Anolis sagrei: one gene and its partners. The main gene of each other region encodes a partner of the protein of the gene in region 4 in a complex. Links are inferred from orthologs where the notes say so. Each region holds a gene or a part of one and is shown on either strand. Other genes may lie near its edges. The genes, in order: ESRRG, RORA, PPARG and NRIP1.

Region 1 (7,625 bases), on a different chromosome or scaffold from region 4:
CTCAGACTAGGAATCCCCACCCCAAGTCCTAGTAGCACCTTAGCATAACTAATTGTCGCTGCACACTGCACTTTTAATCCCACGTGCCTCCTGCCATTTCAGCACTTTTAACCCTTGTACCCCAGTGCGCCGGCCGAACCAGTTTTAATAATGTCTTGATGTACTGCTATTGTGGTTATTTTGCTTATTGTTTGATTTGCTTAGTTATTGTGGTGTTATGCTATTTTGTTTATTGCTGATTTGCTTGCTATTGTGATGTTATGCTCTCTATTGTATTGTTGTTTTGAGGCTTCGGCCTGTGTAAACCGCATCGAGTCCTTCGGGAGATGCTAGCGGGGTACAAATAAAGTTAATAATAATAATAATAATAATTGTAGGAGTTGAAGTAAAAAAAACCTGGAGGGCCAAAGTTTGCCCATGCTTAGTCTAAATGCACTGGGGAACCTGCATGTGGGAGGAAATCCTCAGCATCTTGAGTGAAACATGGCTAGGATGGAACTGTTCATACTTCATTTCTCTTTCCCATTTCTAAAGATCTGAGCAGAGTACGGGTGGAATGGGGGCTTGCTTTCTGCTGAGCTTCTGCACTTCCAAGTTTTGTAAACATGCAAGGCTGCCAGTGTTTGTCTTTGCATCACTCTGAGAGAGAGAGAGAAACATGCTCGGGAGCTGGAAAGAAAAGGCTGTGCACTTTGACCATGTTTATGCTGAAAAGGGGCCGCATGCCTGTTTGCAAACCTATGAGGATGCCTAAAGGCAAACAGGATGATGCCTGTTAATATTGGTCTGTTTTATTTGCGTCTCCAAAAAAGGAATAAGCAAGAGAAACTTTGTTGATCAGTGTTACCAGTATTAACTATTATTATCTGAATGCAAGTTTTATACAGTTCAAAGGCGTTTCTCCAAAATAACACTGTGGGACCGTCCAGCAAACTGAACTGTTCGGCAGTGCAAAGGAGCCAAAGGTATGTACAATAATTTGGATATTGGTCCCAATGAAGTCATTTCCAAATAGAGATACATTGGATTGGGCTATATCCCATTTAAATCTTTAAATATGTTGGCTTGTATTTGGTACATAAATATTTTTTTAAAATCTCTGAAGTATCTCTTCAGAGCCGCTGGTGGTGCAGCGGGTTAAACCGCTGAGATGCCGAACTTGCTGACTGAAAGGTCAGCAGTTCAAATCTGGGAGTGGGAGTGAGCTACTGCTGTTAGCGCCAGCTTCTGCCAACCTAGCACTTTGAAAACATTCAAATGTGTGTAGATCAATAGGTACTGCTTCTGCGGGAAGGTAACAGCACTCCATGCAGTCATGCTGGCCACATGACCTTTGAGGCGTCTACGGACAACACCGGCTCTTCAGCTTAGAAATGGAGATGAGCACCACCACCCAGACTAGACTTAATGTCAAGGGGAACTTCTACCTTTACTATGGAAAATTATCTAACCCTTTACCCAAGGTTCAGATCCTTGTTCAGCCATGGAACTCACTGGGGCAAGTCACACTCTCATAACCTCAGAGGGAGGCCATGGCAAAATCCCCTCTAAATGAATCTTTTGAAGAAAATTATACTACAAGTTCATCTTAGGGTTGCTGTAAGTCAGAAATGACTTGAATGCAAACAACAGAAACAACCCACAAATACTCCACCTCTGGCTCCTGCATGTTAAAGCTACTGACCTGCTTCACTTAATACAAACACACTTAATACATGGATGCCAGTCTCCAGACTAACAACAGACATTTTTTGAAAAACTGCAAAAATAAAGTAGGGTACAACTTTATTATAAAGCAACCTATGTTTATTTCACCTATTTGTGAAATATAATAAGTGTATAATAATTATTATTTACATTATTATTATTATTATTATTATTATCATACCCTGTGCCACTGAAAATAGTGCTATATACAAGAATGCAATAATTATTACAATTTTTTTTAAAAACCACTTTTTCACTAATTCAGCAGTTTGTATGTTTTTTCTCCTGAGTGAAGCACTCCGTGATACAAATGGCATCATCGTTCAGATCAAAACAAATCAGTGCTCACCTTCAGAATGCATTAATGCCATTCACAAACGGGAATACAACAGCTGTCTCCAAGTCTATTTGAAAGCTTTCACCAAAGTAAGATGACAGAATGGAAGACAAATATATGTATGTGCAGTAGACATGTTTGTGCTTCTTTGCTTTCCTGAGCAACTTCTAGCATTTAATACATTTATCCCACGAACAGTTGCGAGTCTGCTGCTTCTATGCAGACAAATATGCACATTCTTAGGGATACAAATACACACCGCAGAAGTTGATCTCATCACCAGAGAAAACCAGGTGGCAAAAGCTTAATTACCAGTAACATTATTCTGCCTATACTGGTAAATGTAGCCTCTAATTAAGATGTAAATTTTAGTTCTGAATGGTGGATTAAAAGCAATCTGACATGCATCCTATCCAACCATTCTTCGGATTCACTAAACAAGCTGAGGGAAAAGATTAAGCATGTATTCTAATAGTGTCAGAATCTAACATACCTTCCTACAAATATTTCAATTAATAAGAACTGTTTGTAGCAGATGTGCTTAATTTCCATATAACTTATATATCATTTATATCCAAAGTCTGGATATAACAATATTGAAGCATATTCGTATACCCATTGAGTATACTCTTTGAATTCATCTATTCATCCATCTATCTTCGCACCTAATAAATCACATTCAATTGAAAGTTTCCTGAAAGCATACTTTTGTCCAGGCTTCCTAGTCTAAAGCCTAGATAACAATATAAACAGAGAATATATAATATTAAACTATTAGAAAATTATTTAAAAATTACCTCATATTGTCTTACGATCATTGTAGTTAGCTGTGGACATTCTTTGGACGACTGTCTGCTCTTCTGCTCTGCTTTCCCATCTATTACGCTGCTCCACTGAATTCCTGCTGTCCTCTTTCCTGTCCATGTCATCTTATGCTCCCCCCTCCAACACGACATTAACTATTGCTATCTTTCTACCAGGCACCTTGGAAGCATCTGTCTCTGCTGATGCTGCTTAGAAGACCACAGCCGTAGTATTATAATTTATGCATTCATGAAAGGCAGTTGGCCTTCCCCCCTGGGATTCAAAATGTCACCTCCAGTAGACCTGGGCTTGAAATTTCAACTGTGTTTTTGAACTTCTCATGCCAGTTTTTTAACAAAAGGAGAAACATCACAGTATTATTACCATCCTTGTTCATCTGAAAACTGCTTGTTACGTTTCATGTACTATTGAACAGGAAGACTCGTGAAAATATAAACAAGGCAAACCCACAATTTTCACATTATCAAAAATACAAGGAGTATTCTCTTTTGCTAACACACACACACACACATACCCTTGCTAAGTCAAATGCTGCTGTGTATAAACTCACCTCATGGAGTCGGCACAAAGCGATAGTGAAAATCAGAGCTAGGAGGGTGAGAGACGCTGTCCTGAGTATTTGCACCAGGCAGTGAGTGCTCTTGAACAGTGTCTACATCTTCACATCTCCTCTGCATATTTCTGCGGATAATTATCCCCATGCAGAGTACTGTATATCTTTAAGCACCCTCACACTTAAGTGCTACAGACAGCTCATTGCGTCCAAATTGCCCGATTCTGAAGCCACAGCTACCTCAAGGCTACTGAAGTAAAGATTCAATGGCACTTTGCAGAAGCAGTACAATTAATTGTGCCAAGTGCAGAAAAAGACCACGGAAGAAAAATACAAAGGGGGGCTTGGGTCTACTATGAGGTTACTAGGCACTTGCTCAGTTGTACGCCAAGTTATTTAAAAATCATCATGTCCTCTCCTGTGTTTATTTATTTATTTTTCTCCTGCCTTCCTCCCCATACAGGCACTCAAGGCAGCTAACAGCAAACGTGATACAATACAAATTAAAAACAAAAAATGGATGTAAATATGAATATAAAACTAACAAACAATTAAATCTTGGTGTCATGAAGCATGAACACTAAAATACGATTGCTGTTAAAACCATACACACACCCAAATCCCATTCATACCATCCCTAGCAGTCTGCCCCTCAAAAACATGTATCCCTTCAGTGCCAACAAATCCTATCACCTTTTCAATTGAGTTTGAATTAAGTGCTGCAATTTTTTGTAATTCACCTTGTATTGTCTGACGTTCATTGTAAAAGGACCAAAGTAATAGATTTGTTTAGATATACCATAGTACCTGGACAGAAAAATGCCAGAGAATACAGGATTTAAAGAATTGGGAAGCGAAGGGTTGACTTCCAAGGGCCTGTCTTTGCAAATACACCAATTCCAAACTCTCTTAATTGAAAACAAATATCCTAAGAAGCCATTAAGACTCATACATGTTTGCTGTTTGTCTTTTCTACTTTTCCTCAGAAAGCTCGGCACATCCCTGGCTCCAATAAAATTCCCTCCACACGCACAGAAAGTGACAAGCTCACTCTCTGAATTTCTTTGCACGCTTATGTACACTTGAGCAAATGGTAGTAGATTACTACTTTAGAGCCCATCTGCTGCTTTCATTTATATTTAGCAGAAATAATGACCACCCTGCCTAGATTTTAGACAAGGCGCAATGTTAGAATATGCTTTTAAATACAAGCTGCAGATAAGCATACATGTGCGTGCCTATGCATGTGTGAGAGTGCACATGCACACACTTCATCTCCCTTTATTTCTAGGTAAATATATGCAAAAGTTCTTTTTTCCAAGTAAAACATCATACCAATAATTTTATCCTATCATTGCTATATGATAGATCCACCACAACAGGTATTCTGCATCCGTAATTCTTCAGACAATTTCTATTTAAATTAGTACTAGGGATGTATTAGAAACTGATAAACTATACCATTCTGTAAAGCGACATTTTGCTTGCTGATTTAAATTCTCTTTTCAAGAACATCAGTAGACACTTACAAGTACTATCTTAGTTTTTTTTTCCCCTTTTCTTTTTCTAAAACTGATGTATAACCCATAGCGGACTCTTTTCCTAACACATGTTTCCTTAGAGAACCCCACGGTGTTACTGTCTTAGAAAACGAAGGCAAAGATGACTGAGGGAATTCAGTCACTCTGTTTAATTAATACAGGATTATTTCACTTTCATTTTGCGGAGATAATAATACGACTGGCGGAATGTCAGTAAAAATTAAATCATAAACTAGTGGAGTGCCAAGGGGAAAGCTTACTTTGGTTATGGAGTATCCCCTGTAGAAATCTTGAAAAATCTTCTACATATTTACACTAGTAAAATACCACATGCTGTTCCATCGGATAGTGAAAGATTTCGAGAATCTGCATGACATGTATCACAGAGCACATTTTTCAGATTATACATTAATAAGAGAGTTGAAGGTGTGTTGTTTCCTGAATGTTAAGTCACCAAATGCTAAATGATAAAGTACACTCAAGGTCAGCATTGCATTTTGGACAATCTCGGTCACTGATGTTATGATAATCGCATCTAAAATATTCGTACAGAAAGCACAAAAAGATTATTATGATAAACAACAGTACGAAAGAAAAGCAATTCATATTGCTTTCTTTCCCTCACAATAAATTGCTACTCTTTATTGGGACAATGAGGCCACGTATTTTGTTTTAGCCACTTTTTCTTCTAGTTCCCTACATAATATTTTCAAAGAGATTGAGAGAAATCTGTTTAATGTGAAAGAAGTTGTTTGGGTCTTTCTTTCTTTTTAAAAGCCACTTTGTGGAAAGGATTTTTTAAAAGCCAGTATAATCATCCACCCTAAAATCAAATTAGGATATCTCACCAACTATGGGACAAGATCAGATGGCTCTTTTCCTCACCTCCTGTCTCTCCCCAGCTTCCTACCTAACTGGAAGCTCAGGGCACTAAAAATAGAAAAGAAGATGGAGTGCAAATATTTCCCCAGTGAAAACACCAATAATCTTTACTGTGAGCTGACACGAATTGCTTGTTACACTGCCCTAGGATATCATGGCCTGAAGCGACAGCACTCACAGACACACAAGCGCGCACACACACACACATTCAAAGGCACTAAGCATCTCAAAAGCTAAAGTAATGTGCATTTGTGTAGGTGCATTTTCAGCAGACCTATGAAATCGGACGTCTGGTTGATACACCTGCCATACAAAACCCATCATTTGTAGCCTTCTAGGTTTTAGTTTCCTCTAAACACCATGGCCCATCTTTCTCTCCCTATCAATTCACTTTTCTCAGGCATTTTTTTTTTGTTATTAATGTTATTGCTATTATTACTGTGCAAGCATAAGCTGATCCACAGGGGAGCCTGTGCAATTTAACCCCTGAAGCGCTAATTTTTTTTTTGCACATGTGCAAAGGCACAGGTTTGTTGTTGCCTCTAGCAATATCCCAGCAAGACGAGTGATGGCGGTGTCATATCATCACATAGTGACTTAATCTATTGCGACATCCAGGGAATGGGCAACTGAAAAAGATTTACAGGACATGTTTTTTAACTGCATACAAACACATTATCCCCATTTTTCAGTAACCCAGCCACAGTGGGATCACACCAGAACAAATTTCACCCGCCTTCATCTTCCAGTTCCACATATTAAGCCCTGTGTCATCTAACCTGCTTTTTTGACCAAGAATGTAACTCTAATAAAAGCATTTTTGTAACATCTTACTTTTTTATTCTTTTCATGTCTCGTGTTTAACAAGCAGTCAGAGCGCGATGAATCACTGAATAGGGCAGCCGTAGTAGTGAGATTGTCCATGCACTGAAGGAAAGAGTCTTCCTTCTATATCCTTTTCAAACTGTCTGATATTACTGGTATGTTTAACAACAACAACAACAACAACAACTTTGTATACTGCCCTATCTCCCCAAAGGGACTCAGGACAGTTTCCAACAAAAATGGCAAACAGTCAATGGCAGAATACACTAACAAAGAGAAATAAATAATCCCTCAGATCCCAAAAGAAAATTCATAATGATAATAAAATTAAAATAATGACAGATAAACCAAAATTAAGAAATAACATAAGCAATCAACCACTGCATATCTAACATTAAAACATGATACAAATTCAAAAACAACTTAGAGGCAGCTCTTTTTTAAGGCATAAAGGATGTGGTTTTCAACTTTGAATACTTAGCTGCAACAAATATTGACAAAAAGAAAAATCACCTGTACTGTGCAATGGTAAAACTGACATATACAACCTTATCAAATGAAGGCAGAGAAGCATCTTCTCCCTGCTTCTCTGTGCTGCTGGCATGGAGTCCCCTGGAGCTACTTCTGGCGGGACTCTGGGGTTCCACTGCCCGCATGGAGCCCCAACGGAAGTACCCTTGCAACATGCTGACCCAACTAGTTCAAAAAATGCACTTGAGTCGAAGAGGAAGTGGGGGACAGCGGGGAAACGTGGGAAGGCAGAGGACAGACCCTGATGGTAGGGAACAGCCAGATGGGTTCCTAATCCTGGCCCACAATTTCCCCCATCGTCCCCCACTTTACAGAGGGCCATCTGATGAGGTCTATAGTCATTCCCTCAGCTTGACATACTTAATATGAGCATCATAATTTTGCTTCCTGCTCAGTTTCATTTTTTAGCAATTGATACATTAGG
Region 2 (7,191 bases), on a different chromosome or scaffold from region 4:
AATAATATTGAGCTCAGAAGAATGATGCTTGTGGTTGAGGAATTCACTGAGCACCACCTTTGAGTTTGGGGAGATTCCCACCATCCTTGTTTGGAGAAGAATAGAATAATGGTAAGCTTGGAGGAATGATGGTGGTGATTGGAGAAGCTGGGGAGACTCCCATCATCCTTCTTAGGAGAAGAATAGAATAATACTGAGCTTGGAAGAATGTTGCTTGTGGTTGGAGAACCAACTGAACATCACCTTTGAGATTGGCCTTTGGGTTTGAGGAGACTCCCATCATCTAACAAGGATGATTCCCACCACCCTTGTTTGGAGAAGAATAGAATAATGGTAAGCTTGGAGAACAAAGCCCAGGAGACACCCATCATCCTTGTTAGGAGAAGAATAGAATAATACTAAGCTTGGAAGAATGACACTGGTGGTTGGGGAATTCACTGAGCACCACCTTTGAGTTTGGGGAAATTCCCACCATCCTTGTTTGGAGAAGAAGAATGGTGAGCTTGGAGGAATTATGCTGGTGGTTGGAGAACCAAGTTGGGGAGACTCCCATCATCCTTGTTAGGAGAAGAATAGAATAATAGTGAGCTTGGAAGAATGATGCTGATGGTTGGAGAACCAACTGAGCATCACATCTGAGATTGGCCTTTGGGTTTGAGGAAACTCCCATCATCTAACAAGGATTACTCCCACCACCCTGGTTAGGAGAAGAATAGAATAATACTGAGCTTGGAAGAATGATGCTGATGGTTGGAGAACCAAGCCGGGGAGACTCCCATCATCCTTGTTAGGAGAAGAATAGAATAATACTGAGCTTGGAAGAATGATGCTTGTGGTTGGAGAACCAACTGAGCATCACCTTTGAGATTGGCCTTTGGGTTTGAGGAGACTCCCATCATCTACCAAGGATGACTCCCACCACCCTTGTTTGGAGAAGAATAGAATTATGGTGAGCTTGGAGAACCAAGCCCAGGAGACACCCATTATCTTTGTTAGAAGAAGAATGGAATAATATTGAGCTCGGAAGAATGATGCTTGTGGTTGAGGAATTCACTGAGCACTACCTTTGAGTCTGAGGAGATCCCCACCATCCTTGTTTGGAGAAGAATAGAACAATGGTGAGCTTGGAGGAATGATGCTGATGGTTGGAGAACCAAGCTGGGGAGACTCCCATCATCCTTGTTAGGAGAAGAATACAATAATACTGAGGTCGGAAGAATGATGCTGGTGGATGGGGAATTCACTGAGCACCAGCTTTGAGTCTGAGGAGATCCCCACCATCCTTGTTTGGAGAAGAATAGAACAATGGTGAGCTTGGAGGAATGATGCTGATGGTTGGAGAACCAAGCTGGGGAGACTCCCATCATCCTTGTTAGGAGAAGAATACAATAATATTGAGCTCGGAAGAATGATGTTTGTGGCTGAGGAATTCACTGAGCACCACCTTTGAGTCTGAGGAGATCCCCACCATCCTTGTTAGGAGAAGAATAAAATCATGGTGAGCTTGGAGGAATGATGCTGATGGTTGGAGAACCAAGCTGGGGAGACCATCCTAGGGCTGTTGTGAGCTGAGGGGACACTCCTCAAGTGGCGGTTGAGGGGCATTTACAGTGGTGGTCGAGGGACATTTATGTGCGCCCCTGGCAAAAAAAAAAAGTGTGCTGCGACCGCTTACTGTGCGTAATGGACAAGCCGCCCCTGCTCTTGAGGCGCTCTTGGGGGAAAATAGACCTTGACATATGCAAGTCGTAGTTACTGGGATGTACTGGGTCTCTTTTCCCCCAAGAGCACCTCAAGAGCAGGGGCGGCTCGTCCATTACGCAGAGTAAGCGGTCGCAGTACACTTTTACAGCATTCTGAACTCCACCAATGATGGAATTGAACCAAATGTGGCACACAGAACTCCCCGGATTACAGAAAATATATATCAGTGATTGGGTTTTTTTGGGGAGGGGGCAAAATACTGTTGAAATAATTTTCAGCAGTATTTTGCCCCCCCCCCCCCAAAAAAAAAACCCAATCACTGATATATATTTTCTGTAATCCGGGGAGTTCTGTGTGCCACATTTGGTTCAATCCTCTGGGAGAGGTAATCCTCTGGGAGATGCCCACCACCCTTGTTAGAAGGAGAAGAACATTGAACTTGGAAGAAGGATGGTGATGGTTGGGGAGTTGGGGGAGCCTTGACCCGGCCTGGACACGTGCGGCAGGTAAACACCTCTCCTTCCTTCCTTCCCCCTCCCTCTTTCCCTCCTCCCTTCCTTCCCCACCGGGGGGAGGGGGGAGTGGGCGGAGCCAGGCGGGGATGGGGGCGGGGCCTACCCCTTCCTCTTCTCTCTCTCTCTCTCTCTCATTCTCCTCCCAGTGTCTCCCATTCAGAGCTGTCCGGGGCGCACGTCCCGGTGGGGGAAAGGGGGTGCGTGGAGTGTCCTACCTGGCCTTTCTCCTCGGGGGGTGCTGCTGCTTCCGTTGGAGGAGGAGGAGGAGGAGGAGGAAGAAGAGGAGGAGGAGGAGGCATAGCTCTGGCGGCGGTTGGCGGGGGGCGGCGGAGGTTGAGGCTGGGGCTGCTGAGGCTGCGGCTCGGAGGGGCTCCCTTCTTCCTCTCCTCCTCCTCGTTCTCCTCCTTCTCCTCGTTCTCCTTCTGTTGTCACGGGCTCCGTGGGGTTCCCCGCCGCCTCCGTGGGGCCCAAAGCGGCTTCGTCGGCTTCGCTTGCCCTCTCGGCGGGGCTCCCCGGCGCCGACTCCATCTTCCTGCCTCTTCTTCCTCCTCCTCCTCCTCCTGCCTTCCTCCTCCTCCTGCCTTGTTGGCCCTGCCTTGGTCCAGGGCGGCAGGAGAGCCCCTTCCTCGCCTCCTTCTCCTCCTTCCTCGCCTCGTTCTCGCCTCTCTTCCTCGGTCTCCGGGTGAGAAGCAGGCAAGGCAAGGCAGGCGAGAGAACGAGAGAGAGATCCGGGCTGTGTGGCCACAAGCAGCGCTAGCGAGAGCTTTGACGCCGCTTCGCTCCTTCTCCATCCCCCCCTTTCGCTCTCTCCTCTCTCTCTCTCGCAGCCCCTCCTCCTCCGCGTGTAGACAGGCACTCAGCATCCAACCCGCATCAGAGGCCCGAGGGAGGCCGTGCGACTTGCAGAGTTGGCTTAGAAGCCTAGACTTGGCCATCCAGCCTCTGTTTCAAAGCCTCCAAAGACCAAACCTCTGAGAAAAGCAGTGAAGGGCCCCTCCCAAGAATGTGGCCTTAGGAATCTTCCTGAGACAGGTCAGGTCATAGAATCCTAGAATCCAAGAGTTGGAAGAGACCTCCTGGGCCAGCCAGTCCAACCCCATTCTGCCAAGAAGCAGGAATATTGCATTCAAAGCACTCCTGACAAATGGCCATCCGGTCTCCGTTTCGAACCCTCCAAAGAACGAGCCTTCACCCCACTCTGGGGCAGAGAGTTCCACTGCTGAACAGCTCTCACAGTCATGGGCCATCCAGTCCAACCCCATTCTGCCAAGAAGCAGGAAGATTGAATTCAAAGCACTCCTGACATATGGCCATCCAGCCTCCAAAGAAGGAGCCTCCACCACACTCTGGGGCAGCGAGTTCCACTGCTGAACGGCTCTCACAGTCAGGAAGTTCTTCCTAATGTTCAGATGACCTCCTGGGCCATCCAGTCCAACCACATTCCGCCAAGAAGCAGGAGAATTGCCTTCAAAGCACTCCTGACAGATAGCCATCCAGCCTCTGTTTCGAAGCCTCCAAAGAAGGAGCCACCACCACACTCTGGGGCAGCGAGTTCCACTGCTGAACGGCTCTCACAGTCAGGAAGTTCTTCCTAATGTTCAGATGACCTCCTGGGCCATCCAGTCCAACCCCATTCTGCCAAGAAGACAGGCACTCAGCATCCAACCTGCATCAGAGGCCGGAGGGAGGCCGTGCGCCTTGCATAGACTTGCTTAGAATCCTAGGCTTGGCCATCCGCCCTCTGTTTCGAAGCCTCCAAAGAACAAACCTCCACCACTCTGTCCTGAGAAAAGCAGAGAAGGGACTCTCCCAAGAATGTGGCCTTGGGAATCTTCCTGACACAGGTCAGGTCATAGAATCATAAGAGACCTCATGGGTCATCCAGTCCAACCCCATTGTGCCAAGAAGCAGGAATATTGCATTCAAAGCACTCCCGACAGATGGCCATCCAGCCTCTGTTTCAAAGCCTCCAAAGAAGGAGCCTCCATCACATTCCAGGGCAGAGAGTTCCACTGCTGGACGGCTTTCACAGTCAGGAAGATGACTTCATGGGCCATCCAGTCCAACCCCATTCTCCCAAGAAGCAGGAAAATTGCCTTCAAAGCACTCCTGACAGATGGCCATCCAGCCTCCAAAGAAGGAGCCTCCACCACACTCCGGGGCAGAGAGTTCCACTGCTGAACAGCTCTCACAGTCATGGGCCATCCAGTCCAACCCCATTCTGCCAAGAAGCAGGAAGATTGCCTTCAAAGCACTCCTGACAAATGGCCATCCAGTCTCTGTTTCGAACCCTCCAAACAACAAGCCTTCACCCCACTCCGGGGCAGAGAGTTCCACTGCTGAACAGGTCTCACAGTCATGGGCCATCCAGTCCAACCCCATTCTCCCAAGAAGCAGGAAGATTGCCTTCAAAGCACTCCTGACAGATGGCCATCCAGCCTCCAAAGAAGGAGCCTCCACCACACTCCGGGGCAGAGAGTTCCACTGCTGAACAGGTCTCACAGTCATGGGCCATCCAGTCCAACCCCATTATCCCAAGAAGCAGGAAGATTGCCTTCAAAGCACTCCTGACTGATGGCTATCCAGCCTCTGTTTCAAAGCCTCCAAAGAAGGAGCCGCCACCACACTCCAGGGCAGAGAGTTCCACTGCTGAACGGCTCTGACAGTCAGGAAGTTCTTCCTCATGTTCAGATGACCTCATGGGCCATCCAGTCCAACCCCATTCTGCCAAGAAGCAGGAGAATCGCGTTCAAAGCACCCCCAGCAGATGGCCATCCAGCCTCTGTTTCGAAGCCTCCAAAGAAGGAGCCTTCACCACACTCCGGGGCAGAGAGTTCCACTGCTGAACGGCTCTGTCAGCAGAGTTATAACATCAAATAAAAATAACAATACTACAGCAGAAGCTTACTTTAGTACAGATTCATAGTGGAAACAAAAAGAAACTCAGAAATCAGACCAGACCAAAGACTGCAGGCAGATGCAAACCATTAGAACAGCAGCAATGAGCTCCACCTGCACCCAATTGACCAAACCCAAACCACAAGCATTCCAACAATTAAAGGCACAAACCCACAAACATAACCAAATACATTCAACGAACAATATAATTTTGCACATTTTGCAATACTTTTAACAAGCTCTCACAGTCACGAAGATGACTTCATGGGCCATCCAGTCCAACCCCATTCTCCCAAGAAGCAGGAATATTGCCTTCAAAGCACTCCTGACAGATGGCCATCCAGCCTCCAAAGAAGGAGCCTCCACCACACTCCGGGGCAGAGAGTTCCACTGCTGAACAGCTCTCACAGTCATGGGCCATCCAGTCCAACCCCATTCTGCCAAGAAGCAGGAAGATTGCCTTCAAAGCACTCCCGACAGATGGCCATCCAGCGTCTGTTTTGAAGCCTCCACCACACTCCTGGGTAGAGAGTTCCACTGCTGAACGGCTCTCACAGTCAGGAAGTTCTACCTAATGTTCAAATGATCTCATAGGCCATCCAGTCCAACCCCATTGTGCCAAGAAACAGGAAAATTGCCTTCAGAGCACTCCCAACAGATGGCACACCTCCGAAGAAGGCGCCTCCACCCCACTCCGCGGCAGAGAGTTCCACTGCTGAACAGCTCTCACAGTCATGGGCCATCCAGTCCAACCCCATTCTGCCAAGAAGCAGGAAGATTGCCTTCAAAGCACTCCTGACAAATGGCCATCCAGTCTCTGTTTCGAACCCTCCAAACAACAAGCCTTCACCCCACTCCGGGGCAGAGAGTTCCACTGCTGAACAGGTCTCACAGTCATGGGCCATCCAGTCCAACCCCATTCTCCCAAGAAGCAGGAAGATTGCCTTCAAAGCACTCCTGACAGATGGCCATCCAGCCTCCAAAGAAGGAGCCTCCACCACACTCCGGGGCAGAGAGTTCCACTGCTGAACAGGTCTCACAGTCATGGGCCATCCAGTCCAACCCCATTATCCCAAGAAGCAGGAAGATTGCCTTCAAAGCACTCCTGACTGATGGCTATCCAGCCTCTGTTTCAAAGCCTCCAAAGAAGGAGCCGCCACCACACTCCAGGGCAGAGAGTTCCACTGCTGAACGGCTCTGACAGTCAGGAAGTTCTTCCTCATGTTCAGATGACCTCATGGGCCATCCAGTCCAACCCCATTCTGCCAAGAAGCAGGAGAATCGCGTTCAAAGCACCCCCAGCAGATGGCCATCCAGCCTCTGTTTCGAAGCCTCCAAAGAAGGAGCCTTCACCACACTCCGGGGCAGAGAGTTCCACTGCTGAACGGCTCTGTCAGCAGAGTTATAACATCAAATAAAAATAACAATACTACAGCAGAAGCTTACTTTAGTACAGATTCATAGTGGAAACAAAAAGAAACTCAGAAATCAGACCAGACCAAAGACTGCAGGCAGATGCAAACCATTAGAACAGCAGCAATGAGCTCCACCTGCACCCAATTGACCAAACCCAAACCACAAGCATTCCAACAATTAAAGGCACAAACCCACAAACATAACCAAATACATTCAACGAACAATATAATTTTGCACATTTTGCAATACTTTTAACAAGCTCTCACAGTCACGAAGATGACTTCATGGGCCATCCAGTCCAACCCCATTCTCCCAAGAAGCAGGAATATTGCCTTCAAAGCACTCCTGACAGATGGCCATCCAGCCTCCAAAGAAGGAGCCTCCACCACACTCCGGGGCAGAGAGTTCCACTGCTGAACAGCTCTCACAGTCATGGGCCATCCAGTCCAACCCCATTCTGCCAAGAAGCAGGAAGATTGCCTTCAAAGCACTCCCGACAGATGGCCATCCAGCGTCTGTTTTGAAGCCTCCACCACACTCCTGGGTAGAGAGTTCCACTGCTGAACGGCTCTCACAGTCAGGAAGTTCTACCTAATGTTCAAATGATCTCATAGGCCATCCAGTCCAACCCCATTGTGCCAAGAAACAGGAAAATTGC
Region 3 (7,645 bases), on a different chromosome or scaffold from region 4:
CTATACTGCCATATAATCCCAGATTATCAAAGCAGATAATCCACATAATCTGCTTTGGACTTGATTATATCAGTCTACATTGCCATATAATCCAGTTCAAAACTGATAATCTGGATTTTATATGGCAGTGTAGAAAGGGCCCTAAGATTATCTACTTTTAACTGGATTATGGGACAATGTAGACTCATATAATTCAGTTCAAAGCAGATAATCTAAATTATCTGATTTGATAATCTGGATTATATGGCAGTGCAGATCCAGCCTGTAAATTAGAAGTGACTTTGATCCCTTCTATACTGTCATATGGTCCAGACCATCAAAGCAGATAATCCACATTATCTGTTTGAACTGGATTATATGAGTCTATACTGCCATATAATCCAGTACACATCGGATAATCTGGATTTTATATGGCAATGTAGAAAGGGCCTTCAAAGCACACACAACAACAATGAATTAAACAATGCAGATATAAATTCTGTTTTTCCTAGCGTAACAGAAACAGAAATCACACACAATTTTCTCTCTCTCCTCTAATGGATGAATAGCTCAGTCCACTTGAGTTCAAAATACAATACTTCTAAAGCTGCTAAAGTTAGTTGTAATTTCTGGCAAGATGCCTTGTATTTGATGAGAAATGAGTGCCAGAGCTTGGGCAAGTTGTTGCTTCCAGACTGCAAATCACAACTAACTTTAGCTGCAGCAGAACCATTCTATTCTGAAAAGGGAAGAATTGATTTATTTCCTCTGGATGCACGACAAATGTGTAACACATATACATTTTTATTAAACCAGTTTTGCAGTCAAGTTTTGTATTTCCCCATTGCTCTTTTAAAGCCATAAATCCCTCCTTATTGGCCATATTTTTCCTGGTTTTAGGCTGCATCTACACTGCAGAATTAATGCAGATTGACATCACTTTAACTGCCATGGCTCAATACTATGGAAACATGGGAGTTTACTTACATCAGGTTTTTAGGCTGCTCTGCCAAAGAGTACTGGGGCCTCACCAAAGTACAACTTCCATGATTCTACAGCATTGGACCATGATAGTTAAAGGGGTCTCAAACTGCATTGTTTCTATGGTGTGTAGATGCACCCTTAGTCAACAGTAGCATGGAGGCTTGGCACCACCATGTAGCTATGGGGGCATCGGTATTTCTGGGGGTCTTCTGCTTCCATACTCTTAGCTGCTGTTCAGGAGCATCATGACACAATGTTTGTTTGTTTTTTAGTCCTGTTGGTCCTTTCTATCTTCTGTGACTTATAACTGCAACATGTTCTCTCCTTCTAAGTTCAAAGTAATAGCATTCTCACCTCACTCTTTCTGAGTAACAAGAAGGATTAGAGCAGTGGTTCCCAAGGCAACAGTGTAGTATGGTGAGGCTGTGGACGATATTTTCGTTCTTTTAGACCACTGGTTGGGAACCACAGGTTGGACCACAGGTTGGGAACCACTGGATTAGAGTCAGAGGACATTGTAGCTGCTCCGTAGAAACACAGTTACAGCCTTCAGGCACCATGGGCCCTACCACACTGCTACACCATTTTAGCATTATTATATCACCTTTACTGCCATGGCAACATTACATGGAATTCTGGGATGTGCAGTTTAGTGAAGAGCATTTACATTTCCAAGCCAGAATGCACTTGGATATCCATCAATCTTTGGGTATAGAAAAAATAACTTGATAAACTTTTTTTGCATGGTTGATAGTATAGCAAAGGTGGAAAACAAAACTGAACATTGAAAGCTCTCTCTGTGTTCTTATGAAAACATGTACAGGCAGTCCCCGAGTTACAAACATCCGACTTACAAATGGCTCATAGTTAAGAACAAAGGGTAGACAATAAAAAGTGAGCGGAATCTGCCCCTAGGAAGGGAAATCCACTCCTGAAAGAATTATCATGTGGAAAAGGGGTCTCCACTGAAGCTTTCTCACTAATTCTTGTTTCCACAACAGCTCAAATTTTTCAAAATCCAATTATCACAGAAAGTGAGGTGGAATCTTATGAACAAGGGCACAGACAGCAAAACAAACACCACATGAGTGGAGTTACACTTGAAAAAATTACCTGTTCTGACTGTCATACAAATTCAGCTTAAGAACAAACCTACAGGACCTATCTTGTTCATATCTTGGGAACTGCTTGTATTAATATCAGTACTCTTGGTTCCAGGACCCTCGTGGACACCAAAATCTGTGCCATCATATACAATAGAATAGTAAAATGCTGTGCCTGATATACGATAGCAAAATCAAATTTGCTGTTTGGGACCATTTTTACTTTGAATCCATAGATACAGAATTTGTGGGTATGAAGGGCCAGCTGTATATCTTTTTTTTAAAGGTAATTCCCCCCCCCCCCCCCAAAAAATTAGAGATAGAAAAGCCAACCAGGAGGAGGGGACTCTGTAATTAATTTACCAGAAAAATATAAACTCTTTAGACCTCTAATATTGAATTAACAATAAAAAAAACAATAGAAGACAGTAGGTGCCAAAAGCATATTTTTAGCATAGATACCTGAAAGATGATATGAATGGTGGCCAAAGCTATCTGGAGCAATGAGGAAGAAGAGCACAAGAAAAAAAGAGTAGATGAAGAATACGGAAATAAATAATTGCTGGTTACTCAATGGACTCATCATATCACTTCTCTTGAGTTTCTCCTTGAGGAGTGGAAAGCACTGTCAAACCTGATGGATCGGTCCAGGTCTGCCCTGGTTCAACTTTGCTGAGCTTCTCTTCAGACGCATCCATACTGTTGAATTAATGGACTTTGACACCATTTTAACAGCCACAGCTCAATGTTTAGCACCAGCACTCTTTGGCAGAGAAGACTAAAGACCTTGTAAAATTACAAATCCCATGATGCCATGGCAGTTAGTTTTGTCAAACTGCATGAAATCTACAGAGGAAAAGCAACCCCCCACACACTCCTGATGGTGGATGGGATCCACTGGGAGGACAAGGCATGGAAGGGAGTTGTTGCAGTGATGTTTTGGAGGGGGTCTCTGTGTGTGTGTGTGTGTGGTCCTGTACATGTCCATGCAAGCCTCAAAATAGCCCCGTAATGTTGTTTCTCTCCGACACCCTCTACATTCAGGGCCCTATCACACAAGCTTGCATTATCGCTCCACTTCAACAGCCATGGCACCATTCAGTGGGATTCTGAGATTTGGACTTTGTGATGAGTCTCAGTCAAGAGCTCTCTGGTTGACAACTCTCAATGCCATTTTCCAAACAGCAGTCCATGGGACCTTGCCGTGACAATTAAACTGGAATAACAATGCTGTAAGAGTGGCTGCATCCACACTGTACAATGATGTTTGTCACCACTTTGACTGCCCTGGCTCAATGCTATGAAATCCTGGGAGCTGTAGTTGGGTTGTGGAGCACCCAGTGAAGGTAAAAGTAACGGTTTTACCTGAGTCCCCCTTCGGGGGTAGAGAAGGGCGGGATACAAATATTTGAAATAAATAAATAAGGTTTCCCTTCATGTCCTACTCTGGGGGTGGTGCTCAATTCTGTTTCTAAACTGAAGAGCTGACGTTGTCTGTAGATGCCTCCCAGGTCATGTGGTACCTATTGATCTACTCAACCATTTGCATGTTTTTGAACTGCTAGGTTGGCAGAAGCTGGGGCTAACAGCGGGAGCTCAACCCACTCCTCAGATTTGAACTGCCGACCTTTTGGACAGCAAGTTCAGCAACTCTGTGGTTTAACCCGCTGCGCCACCAGGGGAAACCTTTACCTTTACCTTTATGGTTGGGTGAGGCACCAGCACTCTTTGGCAGAGAAAGCTAAAGACCTTGTGAAACGACAACTCCCATAATTCCATATCATTGAGCCATGGTGTCAAAGAGCATTAATTCTACAGTGCAGATGCACCTAGCAAAAGCATGGGCAAACTTGGGCCCTCCAGGTGTTTTTTTGGACTTCAACTCCTACCATTCCTAACAGCCTCAGGCCTTTCCTTTTCCCCCTTAGCCGCCTAAGGAGTGACCTAAGGCTGTTAGGAATGGTGGGAGTTGAAGTCTAAAACACCTGGAGGGCCCAAGCCGGCCCATGCCTGACCTAGCATCAGGTGGAAGTCTACACCTGTTTCCACACATGTGCTCCCCACGCTGGATCTGTGTGTGTAGACTCTCACACCAGGCAGTTTCAGTGCTATTGTCCCCCTTTTCCCCCCAGAGTGCATCTTCACTTGTAGAATGAATGCAGTTGGACGCTGCTTGAACTGTCCTGGCTCAAGGAAGATGCCTTCTCTGCCCAAGAGTGCTGGTGTCTCACCAAACTACAACTTCTAGGCTGCCATAGCGTGGAGCCCTGGCACTTCAAGTGGGGTCAAGCGGCATGACTGACTTCAGCAATGTGTGGACTGGGTGGGAAGTGAACGCGAAAACCTTCCAACTTTCCAACTCCTAGGATCCCATAGCCTGGCATGTTGCCTTCCTTCTCGGGTGTGCTGCGCCTCTCTCAGCCCATGCCCATGCCCATGTCCTCCTCGGTGGCTTCCTCTCCAGCGAAGCGCCAGCCTCGGTCCGCCGCCTCCTCCTCCCCTCCTTCCTTCCCGGGGGGGGGCCGTGTCCGTCTCCCGGGCGTGGGCTGGGCTGGGGGGCGGGGCTGGGGGCGGGCCCTCCTTCCTGCCCATAGGGCGGCCCGGGTGGGGAAGCCCAGATGCCACCAGGCGAGGAGACTTTCCCCAGCCGCGCTGACAGCACCAGGTCAGTCCCAGAGAGAGCGGAGAGGGAGAGGGAAGGAAGGAGGGCGCTCGGGTCCGGCACTCTTGGCCAGAGGAGGGAGGCTCCAGACCACACGTCAAACTGCATGAACTCTCTGTGGAGTGAGAAGGGGGCAAGCCCGTGGCGAGGCAAGGGGTGAAGAGGGCGCATCGGGAGCCAGGAAGGGGGCTTCTCGCTGGGGAAGGGTCCCTCTTGGCCAAGGAAACCCTCTGTGCTGGCACTCTTTGGGCTCGCCATCAGTCCCAAGGGGGCTTGGGCATCAGATTGGGGTTTGGTTTCACTTTATCCGAGGAAGAGAGACCCAGGACTCATTGAATGGAGCCGGTGGAGAGAAAGGGGAATCTTCACGATCATCCTCTCTTTGGGTTGCTGTAAGTTTTTCGGGCTGTACGGCCACGTTCCAGCAGCATTCTCTCCTGACGTTTCGCCTGCATCTATGGCAGGCATCCTCAGAGGTTGTGAGTTAAGACCTCTGAGGATGCCTGCCCTAGATGCAGGCGAAACGTCAGGAGAGAATGCTACCGGAATATGGCCATACAGATCAAAAAACTTACAGCAACCCAGTGATTCCGGCCATGAAAGTCTTTGACAGTACATCCTCTCTTTCTCAATCTTTCTTTCCTTCTCTCTCCCTCTCTCACATGCCCACCCAAGCCCCCCTCTCCAATTCATAAATATAGTTGTGTCAGGGCTTGAAAGTGAAGTTCAAGGACTTAGTTATACACAAATAGTGTAATGGGGGCTTCTCCTTTGGAGGCTTTTAAACAGGGGCTGAACAGGGACAGTAAACGTAAAGGTAAAGGTTTTCCACTGACATTAAGTCCAGTCGTGTGCAACTCTGGAGTTTGGTGCTCATCTCAATTTCTAAGCCAAAGAGCCGGCATTATCCATAGACACCTCCAAGATCATGTGGCCAGCATGACTGCATGGAATGCCATTACCTTCCCACCAGAGTGGTACCTATTGATCTACTCACATTTGCATGTTTTCAAACTGCTAGGTTGGCAGAAGCTGGGGCTGACAGCAGAAGCTCACGCTGCTCCACAGAATCGAACCTGTGACCTTTTGGTCAACAAGCTCAGCAGCTCAGTGCTTTAACCCACTGTGCCACTGGGGGCTCCTGGTGTCCAGGGATACTTTGTGCTTTTCCTGCATGGCATAGGGTTGGACTAGATGGCCCATGTGGTCTCTTCCAACTCTATGATTCCAAGGGCCCTTCCACACAGCCCTCAATCCCACAATACCAAGGCAGGAAATCCCACATTATCTGAGTGCGGACTCAGATAACCCAGTCCAAAGCAGATATTGTGGGATTTTCTGCCTTGATATTTGGGGATATAGGTCTGTGTGGAAGGGCCCTCAGTTGGAAAGGCGTTTTGTGGCTCTTCAGTCTTGTCCAGGAGAAGCTTCAGAAAGGGGAGAGGGAAGGGTTCAGTGCCCACTCCAGCCACAGGTGTGTGGCCTACCTTTGCATCCAAATCCAGGGATGAATCTTGTTCCCAGTAGATGCAGGGATCTTCATAAGGGTGCACTGTCTGTTCATCAGGGAAAGATGGGCTTCTCCTGTAGGGGCCCATCCACACAGCCATATAACCCAGAACATCAAGGCAGAAAATCCCACAATATCTGCTTTGAACTGGCTTATCTGAGTCCACACTGCCATATATTCCAGTTCAAAGCCCCTGGTGGCACAATGGGTTGAACCCTTGTGCCGGCAGGACTGAAGACCAACAAGTCAAAGGTTCGACTCCAGGGAGAGTGCGGATGAGCTCCCTCTGTCAGCTCCAGCTCCCCATGCAGGGACATGAAAGAAGCCTCCCGCAAGGATGGTAAAACATCAAAACATCCAAGCGTCCCCTGGGCAACATCCTTGCAGACGGCCAATTCTCTCACTCCAGAAGCGACTTGCAGTTTCTCAAGTTGCTCCTGATACAGAAAAAAAGCAGGTAATGTGGGATTTTATTCAGGGACCTAGGTTGGGCTGTGCCACCTGGAGCAGATGTGTTAAGTTTCCTTTCACAAAACATGTGTCATAGTTATCTATATTAAAGTGGGACAGATTGACTTCTGGGATAGGTCCACTGTGTTCTCTGCCACAACCTCAAGACACCTATATCTGTGGTGATGCTGCAGGGGAGGAGGCAAGGTGATGGAAAGGAAGCCTTTTGAAAAGACTGGTGGTTTAAAAAAAATGTGTTTCCTAACCACAATCGAGAATGTTAATGTATACACTAATGTTCCAAGCATAATCCTGCCATAACAGATATTATACATTGTGAAATATATGATGCCTCGGTGTCATATCCCGAGTCTGCAGGAGTGTTTTGTAAGTTTCCCACTGTCATTTCTCCCAAGGGCATTCTGCACTGGAGACTGCGCGTTCCTGTTAGTGTTGTAACTTTGAGGCAATACGTATGAGTTATGATCCAACTTGGTAGCAAGGTCATAATTTTATACAGTTGTGCCACGTGGAAGTTTCCTTTTGGTACCATTTTGAGGAGTTTCTTTCTAGGGTCCCTTCCACACAGCTGAAAAAAATCCCACATCTGCTTTGAACTGGAATATATGGCAGTGTGAATTCAGACAACCCAGTTCAAAACAGATATTGTGGGATTTTCTGCCTTGATATTCAGGGTTATATGGCTGTGTGGAAGGGCCCTGATGGCAGCTGATGTCCTGAAGGCAGCTGATGTCCTGAAGGTACTAGATCCTTTCTAATCTCAGATGATAAGCAGGGTCAGCTCTGGTTGGTACTGGGGTGGGAGACCACCAATGAATAACAGTTACTGCAAGCTGTGTTTTGGAAGACTGACAGATTGGAGGTTTGAATCCGGGGAGAGCCTGGATGAGCTCCCTCTGTCAGCTCCAGCTCTCCATGCAGGGACATGAGAGAAGC
Region 4 (7,015 bases):
GTGTGGTTTTGCAGGCGACTAAGGAGGGGAGATCATCCCTTTGAAAGGAGAGCTGAGGAGGAAGAGGAGGAGGCAAAGAGGGGAGACCAAGGGGGCACCCCAACTGTGGAATGGATGCAGTCAGAGACCCCTTCTACACAGTTGAATAAAATCCTATATTTTCTGCTTTGGACTAGAATATATGACAGTGTGGATTCAGATAACCCAGTTCAAAGATTTTTTTTTTCATGTCAGTAGCAACTTGAGAAACTGTAAGTCGTGTCTGGTGTGAGAGAATTGGCGGTCTGCAAGGGCATTGCTCAAGGGACACCCAGATGTTTGATGTTTTATCATCCTTGTGGGAAGCTACTCTCATGTCCCTGCATGGGGAGAGGGAGCGCAAACTGCACTCCCCAGATTCTACCCACTCACCTATCAGTCTTCAGTCCTGTCGGCACAAGGGTTTAACCCATTGCACCACCCTCTATTCAAAGATGGTATTGTGGGATTTTCTGCCTTGATATTCTGAGTTATATGTTTGAGTGTTGACGGGCCCTTTTTTGTGTCACGAGAAGCTTGAGAAACTGCAAGTCGCTTTTGGCATGAGAGAACTGGCCATCTGCAAGGACATTGCCCAGGGGAAGCCCAGGTGTTTGATTTTTTACCATTCTTGTGGGAGGCTTCTCTCATGTCTCCGCATGGGGAGCTGGAGCGGACAGAGGGAGCTCAACCCGCTCTCCCTGGATTTGAACCACTGACCAGCAATCCTGCCAGCACACAAGGGCTCAGTGCTCTGGAATCATAGGGCCCTTCCACACAGCCCTATATGCCAGAATATGAAGGCAGAAAATCCCACAATATCTGCTTTGAACTGAGTTATCTGGGTCTACACTCAGATAATGTGGGCTTTTCTGCCTTGATATTCTGGCAGATAGGGCTGTGTGGAAGGGCCCATAGCCACGTGTAGCTTGGTGAGGCGGCAGCACTCTTGGGCAGAGAAGGCGTAAGACCTTGTAAAACTGCAACACCAGAGAGTTTTAGCACAGAGCCATGGCAGTCAAAGTGCATGGATCTTTCAAAGCTGTGCGAGCCTGTGCCCAGCTTGGCTTCCTGAGAGGCGCCGCCGCAGCCATGGCGCACAAGACTTGGGATAATTCAGGGAAAGGGGGGGGGGGGCTTCTTGGCATCCCTATATCCCAGAATATCAAGGCAGGAAATCCCACAATATCTGCTTTGAATTGGCACCCCACCCCCCTCCACAAAGCTGAATAAGATCCCACATTATCTGCTTTAGAACTGGAATATATGGCAGTGTGGACTCAGATAACCCAGTTCAAAGCAGATATTGTGGGATTTTCTGGCTTGATATTCTGAGTTACATGGTTGTGTGGAAGGGCCCTGGGTTATCTGAACCTATACTCAGGGCCCTTCCACACAGCCCTATATCCCAGAATATGAAGGCAGAAAATACCACAATATCTGCTTTGAACTGGGTTATCGGCGTCCACACTCAGATAATGTGGGATTTTCTGCCTGGGTATTCTGGGATGTAGGGCTGTGTAAAAGGGCTGGGGAATACAAGGCAGAAGAGGTGAACATTTCAGGGGATTCCTGGTGATTTCAATCAGTCAAAAGAGGCACTGAGGGGAAGGGGGAGACCCCAACTTTTCCCTGCCCACCCATGTCTAAGGGCCCTTCCACACAGCCCTATATCCCAGAATATCAAGGCAGGACATCCCACAATATCTGGTTTGAACTGAGTTATCTGAGGGCCCTTCCACACAGCTCTATATTCCAGAATATCAAGGCAGAAAACCCCACATTATCTGAGTGTGGATGCAGATTACCTAGTTCAAAGCAGGTATTGTGGGATTGTCTGTCTTGATATCCTGGGCTATAGGGCTGTGCGGAAGGGCCCTAAGGGATGATCAAACTTTAAGTGTCCAACGTTTTGTTGGCGGCTTTCATGGCCAGAATCACTGTTTTTTTGTAAGTTTCCCAGACTGTCTGGCCATGAAGCATTATCTACTGACATTTCGCCCAAATATGTGGCAGGCATCCTCAGAGGTTGAGAGGTCTGTTGGAAACTAGGAAAATGGGGATTGTATATCTGTGGGTTGTCCAGGGTGGGATAAAGAACTCTTGTCTGTTGGAGGTAGGTGTCAATGTTTCAATTGGCCGTGTTCTAGAAGCATTCTCTCCTGACGTTTCGCCTGCATCTATGGCAGGCATTCTCAGAGGTTGTGAGGTTGTAAGGTGTCCATTTCAGAGAGGGAAAGGTGGTGGTGGGTGGTGGTGGGGGGATTGAAAACCTGCCTGCCTGCTACCGGAAACAATGTTGTTGATATGCTCCCTCCCTCCTTCGGGAATGACAGCTCCTAGCCTGGCTTCCCGAGCTTGTTATTCAAAGGCGAAGAAGACTAATGAGAGGCTCCCTTTGCGCCCTGAGCCCTCTCGCCTCTTGGCTCCGCGCTCCTGCCCATCTGCCAGGGCAGCGCCTCTGCCTCCCTCTCTCTCTCTCTGCCTTCTTCTCCCTCTGCCTCTCCCCAAAGCCCCCCGCCAACCTCCGCGGCCATTTCCTCCGTCCCTCCTGCTCCTCCTCCTCCCTCTCTCGCCCTTCCTTCCCCCTCCGTAAGAGGGGAAAGGCGGCCCAGCCAAGCCACGGTGGCAGCAGCAGCAGCAGCGTCGCCAAGCAGGCACTCGACTCACCCTTGGCCGCCTCGCTCTGCTTGGCCTCTTCTCCTTTGCCTCGCTTGGCCAAAACGCCCGGGCTCCGGAGGCTTGAATGGCCAGGGAAACGGGGAAGGCGCAGAGCAGGGAGGAAGGCAGGCGTCTCTCGCCCCCTCGGGTCTCCTCCTGCGCCTCTCGCTGGCTCTCCACAGGAAAAGACGCCTCGAGTCTCCTCCTCCTCCTCCTCTTCCTCCTCCTCTCTCTCCGGTTCGGGGCTCTGCTGCAATGCCTGTGAGGCTGACTTTCAAAGCTTCACCCGCAGCCTGTGATCCTCCCTCCCTCCCTCCTCTCCCGCCTGCCCTCTCTCTCTCTCTCTTCTCTCTCCCTCCCTTTCTCTCTCCCTCCTCCTTTCCGCCTGTCACAATCCCTCCACCCGCCTCCTCTCCTCGCCATTCATCGCTCCAGCCAAGTTTCTCACTGGGTTTTCTTCCTTCCCCCCTTTCTCTCTCTCTCTCTCTCTCTCTCCCCCGCCACCCCCTTGACACAGGAAGGCAGATGCCTTGGGAAGCCAGGGCGGGGAGGGACACCTCCAGGCTCGGTCGGGACTGCACGCAGCTTCCCTCAAACCCTTCCTGTTTGTTGGTGACACACTTTGAAGGCAGGCTTCCTTTTGCGACAGTCACGCAGGTTTACTAGCAAAGCCCAAGGTTCAACAGACCCTTGAGAAGAGGGAAGGGCCAAGACATAGTAGCCATTGTAACAAGGAATACAATACATCTCGGGGGGGGGGGGGGGGAGAAATGATGGGTAACATCATAACATATTCCAAAGATGTTTTTTCTTCTCATTTCTCATAACATTTACACACTACAGCAGTGGTTCTCAACCTTTCTTTTGACCAGGGACCACTCTCCAACATTAGTACCAAAAGGGTTACAAATCAGTTTTCAGTCAACTTTAGATTCTCTTTGGTTATTTGAGGTGCTGATTCAGAAAATGGCATTGGGTAGACCACATCAGCTCCAGTAGGAGTCCCCGGTGGTACTTTACTTACTTCCTTAGGCGATCCCTCGTTGTCCGAGTAGGATAGTCTTCCAAGATCAATGTACTGGTGGTGGGTCTGTAGGTGACTGTGGAGCCCTATTCCCACTTCAAGGTGCAGGTTCTTACCTACAAAGCCCTGAATGGTTTGGGACCTGCCTACCTGCATGACCACATTTCTGTGTACGAACCCACATGATCTCTTTGATCATCTGAAGAGGCCCTACTCACGCTCCCACCTCCATCGCAGGCGCAATTGGTGGGGACGAGGGAGAGGGCCTTCTCGGTGGTGCCCCCCCCCCCGACTCTGGAACTCCCTCCCCAAGGATATTAGGCACACCCCAACTTTGGCAATTTTTAGGAGGAGCTTGAAAACGTGGTTGTTCCAGTGTGCCTTCCCAGAATAAGGAAACTCCCACCAATATGTTCCTAATTACACCTTATTAGTGATCTAGAACTGTCTGTACACCCCATTCTTTTCCGAAATTCTATTCTAGTTATATTTCACCTGGTCTTGTCCCGCATTATTTTTTTAATTTTAACTATTACATTTGGCCCAACCATTGGTTTTTAAATGTTACTGTGTTATTATCGATGTTTACTGCCTATTTTTTGTTTATGAGTTTTATTTTATTGTTTTGTATTACTGCTTTGATGTTTTTTGCTGATGTACTGTGGGCTCGGCCTCATGTAAGCCGCGTCGAGTCCCTTGGGGAGATGGTAGCGGGGTATAAATAAAGTTTTATTATTATTATTATTATTATTTATTCTTGATCTGCATCTTCTCCCACCAGGCATGTAGCCGGGGGGGGGGGGGGCTCGGGGGGCTTCAGCCCCCCCCCCCCCCGAAATTCTCATGGTGGTTCGCGAAAAGGCTTTACTGGTGCATTACTTAAACTGTTATGTTTATTCATATCATGATCTGATCACCATACTCAATATATCCCATATGCATGGGGGTATTGGGGTAATGATACAAAAGGTTTGCTAGGGTAGACACTCTTTCACTCAGACTCAGCCCCCCCCTGAAACTCATCCCCCCGAAACCCCCCTGAAAAAAATTCACACCCCCCCCCCCCCGAAACGAAATCCTGGCTACGGGCTTGTCTCCCACAGTGAAGGGCATTGGTTTCCAGGTGGAAGGTGGTCTCGATCAGGGTTGGCTTGACGCGCCTTCCTCTTGACACGTTTCTCTCTTTCACCCTCCATTCATGCCTCTTCAAATTCTACAGCACTGCTGGTCACAGCTGACCTCCAGCTAGAGCGCTCAAGGGCCAGGGCTTCCCAGTTCTGTGCCAGAGTTTTTAAGGTTGGCTATGAGCCCATCTTTAAATCACTTCCTGCCCACCAACATTCCGTTTTCCATTCTTGAGTTCGGAGTAGAGCAACTGCTTTGGGAGACGGTGGTCGGGCATCCGGACAACGTGGCCGGTCCAGCGGAGTTGATGGCGGAGGACCATCACTTCAATGCTGGTGGTCTTTGCTTCTTCCAGCACTCTGACATTTGTCTGCTTCTCTTCACAAGAGATTTGCAGGATTTTCCAGAGGCAGCGCTGGTGGAATAGTTCCAGGAGTTGCATGTGATGTCTGTAGACAGTCCACATTTAGCAGTTGTATAGCAGGGTTGGGAGGACAATTGCTTTATAAACAAGCACCTTGATATCCCTACGGATGTCCCAGTCCTCAAACACTCTCTGCTTCTTTCAGAAAAAAGCAGCACTCACAGAGCTCAGGTGGTGTTGTATTTCAGTGTCAATGTTGACTTTTGTGGAGAGGTAGCTGCCAAGGTACTGGTGGCTGATCAACATTTCCCCGGTGGTGCGGTGGGTTAAACCCCTGTACTGGAAGGACTGAAGACCGACAGGTCGAAGGTTCAAATCCAGGGAGAGCGCAGATGATCTCCCTCTGTCAGTTCCAGCTCCCCATGGGGGGGGAGGGCATGAGAGAAGCTCCCCACAAGGATAGTAACACATCAGAAATCTGGGCATCCCGAGGGTAATGTCTTTGCAGACGGCTCTAGTCAGCTCTAGTTTCTGATACAGAAGATACAGAAGATACAATATACCATTCGGTAGTCATCATCGGTTTGCCCACAAAAAACCCCCCACCTATTTAATAATCTAGAGCTGATGTTGTAGTAGTACCCTTTCATGAGGAATCAGCCTCTCCCCTTCTGACATCCCTGTTGCCTTGGCACTGTAAGAGGGTTTCGTGAGATCAGTCACTCTCAATGCCACATGGTTTCGAGGCAATGGTGTACTAATGGTGAGGCTACAGACCATATTTTCGTTCTTGGGGACCACTGGTGGTCCATGGACCACTGCACTATAGCAAACACATTAACACATGTATGGGCAAACGTTGGCCCTCCAGTTGGTTTGGACTTCAACCATTACTAACAGTCTCGGGCCCCTTCCTTCCCTGCTCAGCTGCTTATGCTTATGTGGCTAAGGAGAAAAAAGAAAGGGTCTGAGGCTGTTAGGAATGGTGAGAGTTGAAGTCCAAAACACCTGGAGGACCAACATTTGCCCATACCTGCACTAACCTGTCACAAAACAGTTTGGAAAGCTCTGCTCTGTCAGGAATCTACAGCCCCGAAAACTCACAACCCAACAGTAGTATAGCCTGTTTATTTTTGTCTCAAAATGGTGAAGTAAAATTATAATAATGCACCAGACAGGCAATGTTTTATATTGCTAGTTTTCCAGAGATGTCACACCTTGGTTAAACTGGGATGGTTTAAAAATGTGTTTAAATATGCCCTTTTGCAGGGTTCACATCACTTTCCACATAGTCTTTGAGCAACATAGTCCTGGACAAAAGTCTCCATCCTCTTGCCCTGCCTCGGTGACTATCAGAACTAAACATTTGCCATGTTGAGGTAGAAAAAATATATAAAAATATACTACTGTTGGTTAGTTGTGAGTTTTCCAGGTTGTATGGCCATATTCCAGAAGCATTCTCTCCTGACATTTTGCCCACATCTATGGCAGGCATCCTCAGAGGTTGAGGATTCTGTTGGAGACTAGACAAGTGAAATTTATATATCTGTGGAATGTCCAGGGTGGGGGAGTGAACTGTTGTCTGTTTGGCACTGCAGAGTAATTCAACCTGATATGTCAGCCATAGCAGAGCATCTGATCAACCAGCTTGGACACAGCATATTATCCGAGAACACAGAAATGCTGGACCACTCTAACAACACCATGTCAGACTACACAGAGAAGCCATTGAAATCCACAAGCAGGTGGACAATTTCAACATGAAAATGAACAAAATTTGGCTACTGGTATTTAAAAAGTACTCTAAAATCAGGGCAGTAAAT

The links.
Region 1: the proteins of NRIP1 (region 4) and ESRRG are in contact, whole or in part, in a crystal structure (PDB 2GPP), measured with the Homo sapiens proteins. The link is inferred for Anolis sagrei from reciprocal best matches to the Homo sapiens genes NRIP1 and ESRRG. Residues at the interface, in NP_001426204.1 of Homo sapiens: Ser378, Leu379, Leu380, Leu381, Leu383, Leu384, Lys385, Ser386, Gln387; in NP_001429.2 of Homo sapiens: Val277, Ile280, Lys284, Phe289, Leu294, Gln297, Met298, Leu301, Gln302, Lys448, Leu449, Glu452, Met453.
Region 2: the proteins of NRIP1 (region 4) and RORA are in contact, whole or in part, in a crystal structure (PDB 4S15), measured with the Homo sapiens proteins. The link is inferred for Anolis sagrei from reciprocal best matches to the Homo sapiens genes NRIP1 and RORA. Residues at the interface, in NP_001426204.1 of Homo sapiens: Thr499, Leu500, Leu501, Gln502, Leu504, Leu505, His507; in NP_599023.1 of Homo sapiens: Gln332, Val335, Lys339, Phe344, Met345, Gln349, Gln352, Ile353, Leu356, Pro505, Leu506, Glu509, Leu510.
Region 3: the proteins of NRIP1 (region 4) and PPARG are in contact, whole or in part, in a crystal structure (PDB 9CWN), measured with the Homo sapiens proteins. The link is inferred for Anolis sagrei from reciprocal best matches to the Homo sapiens genes NRIP1 and PPARG. Residues at the interface, in NP_001426204.1 of Homo sapiens: Ser130, Thr131, Leu132, Leu133, Ala134, Leu136, Leu137, Ser139; in NP_056953.2 of Homo sapiens: Val321, Gln322, Thr325, Lys329, Phe334, Leu339, Gln342, Val343, Leu346, Lys347, Pro495, Leu496, Glu499, Ile500, Lys502.

Annotation. Positions count from the first base shown.
Region 1 is NC_090021.1:35,092,596-35,100,220, forward strand, and holds the start of ESRRG (estrogen-related receptor gamma), read right to left. Parts: upstream 3,002-7,625; 5' UTR 3,001-3,001; coding exon 2,842-3,000; intron 2,134-2,841; exon of another isoform or gene 2,003-2,133; intron 966-2,002; exon of another isoform or gene 878-965; intron 1-877. UniProt on the Homo sapiens protein: Orphan receptor that acts as a transcription activator in the absence of bound ligand. Binds specifically to an estrogen response element and activates reporter genes controlled by estrogen response elements.
Region 2 is NC_090029.1:3,134,831-3,142,021, reverse strand, and holds the start of RORA (nuclear receptor ROR-alpha), read right to left. Parts: upstream 3,003-7,191; 5' UTR 2,748-3,002; coding exon 2,435-2,747; intron 1-2,434. UniProt on the Homo sapiens protein: Nuclear receptor that binds DNA as a monomer to ROR response elements (RORE) containing a single core motif half-site 5'-AGGTCA-3' preceded by a short A-T-rich sequence.
Region 3 is NC_090022.1:64,554,168-64,561,812, reverse strand, and holds the start of PPARG (peroxisome proliferator-activated receptor gamma), read left to right. Parts: upstream 1-4,645; 5' UTR 4,646-4,731; intron 4,732-7,645. UniProt on the Homo sapiens protein: Nuclear receptor that binds peroxisome proliferators such as hypolipidemic drugs and fatty acids.
Region 4 is NC_090023.1:61,573,694-61,580,708, forward strand, and holds the start of NRIP1 (nuclear receptor-interacting protein 1), read right to left. Parts: upstream 3,002-7,015; 5' UTR 2,689-3,001; intron 1-2,688. UniProt on the Homo sapiens protein: Modulates transcriptional activation by steroid receptors such as NR3C1, NR3C2 and ESR1. Also modulates transcriptional repression by nuclear hormone receptors.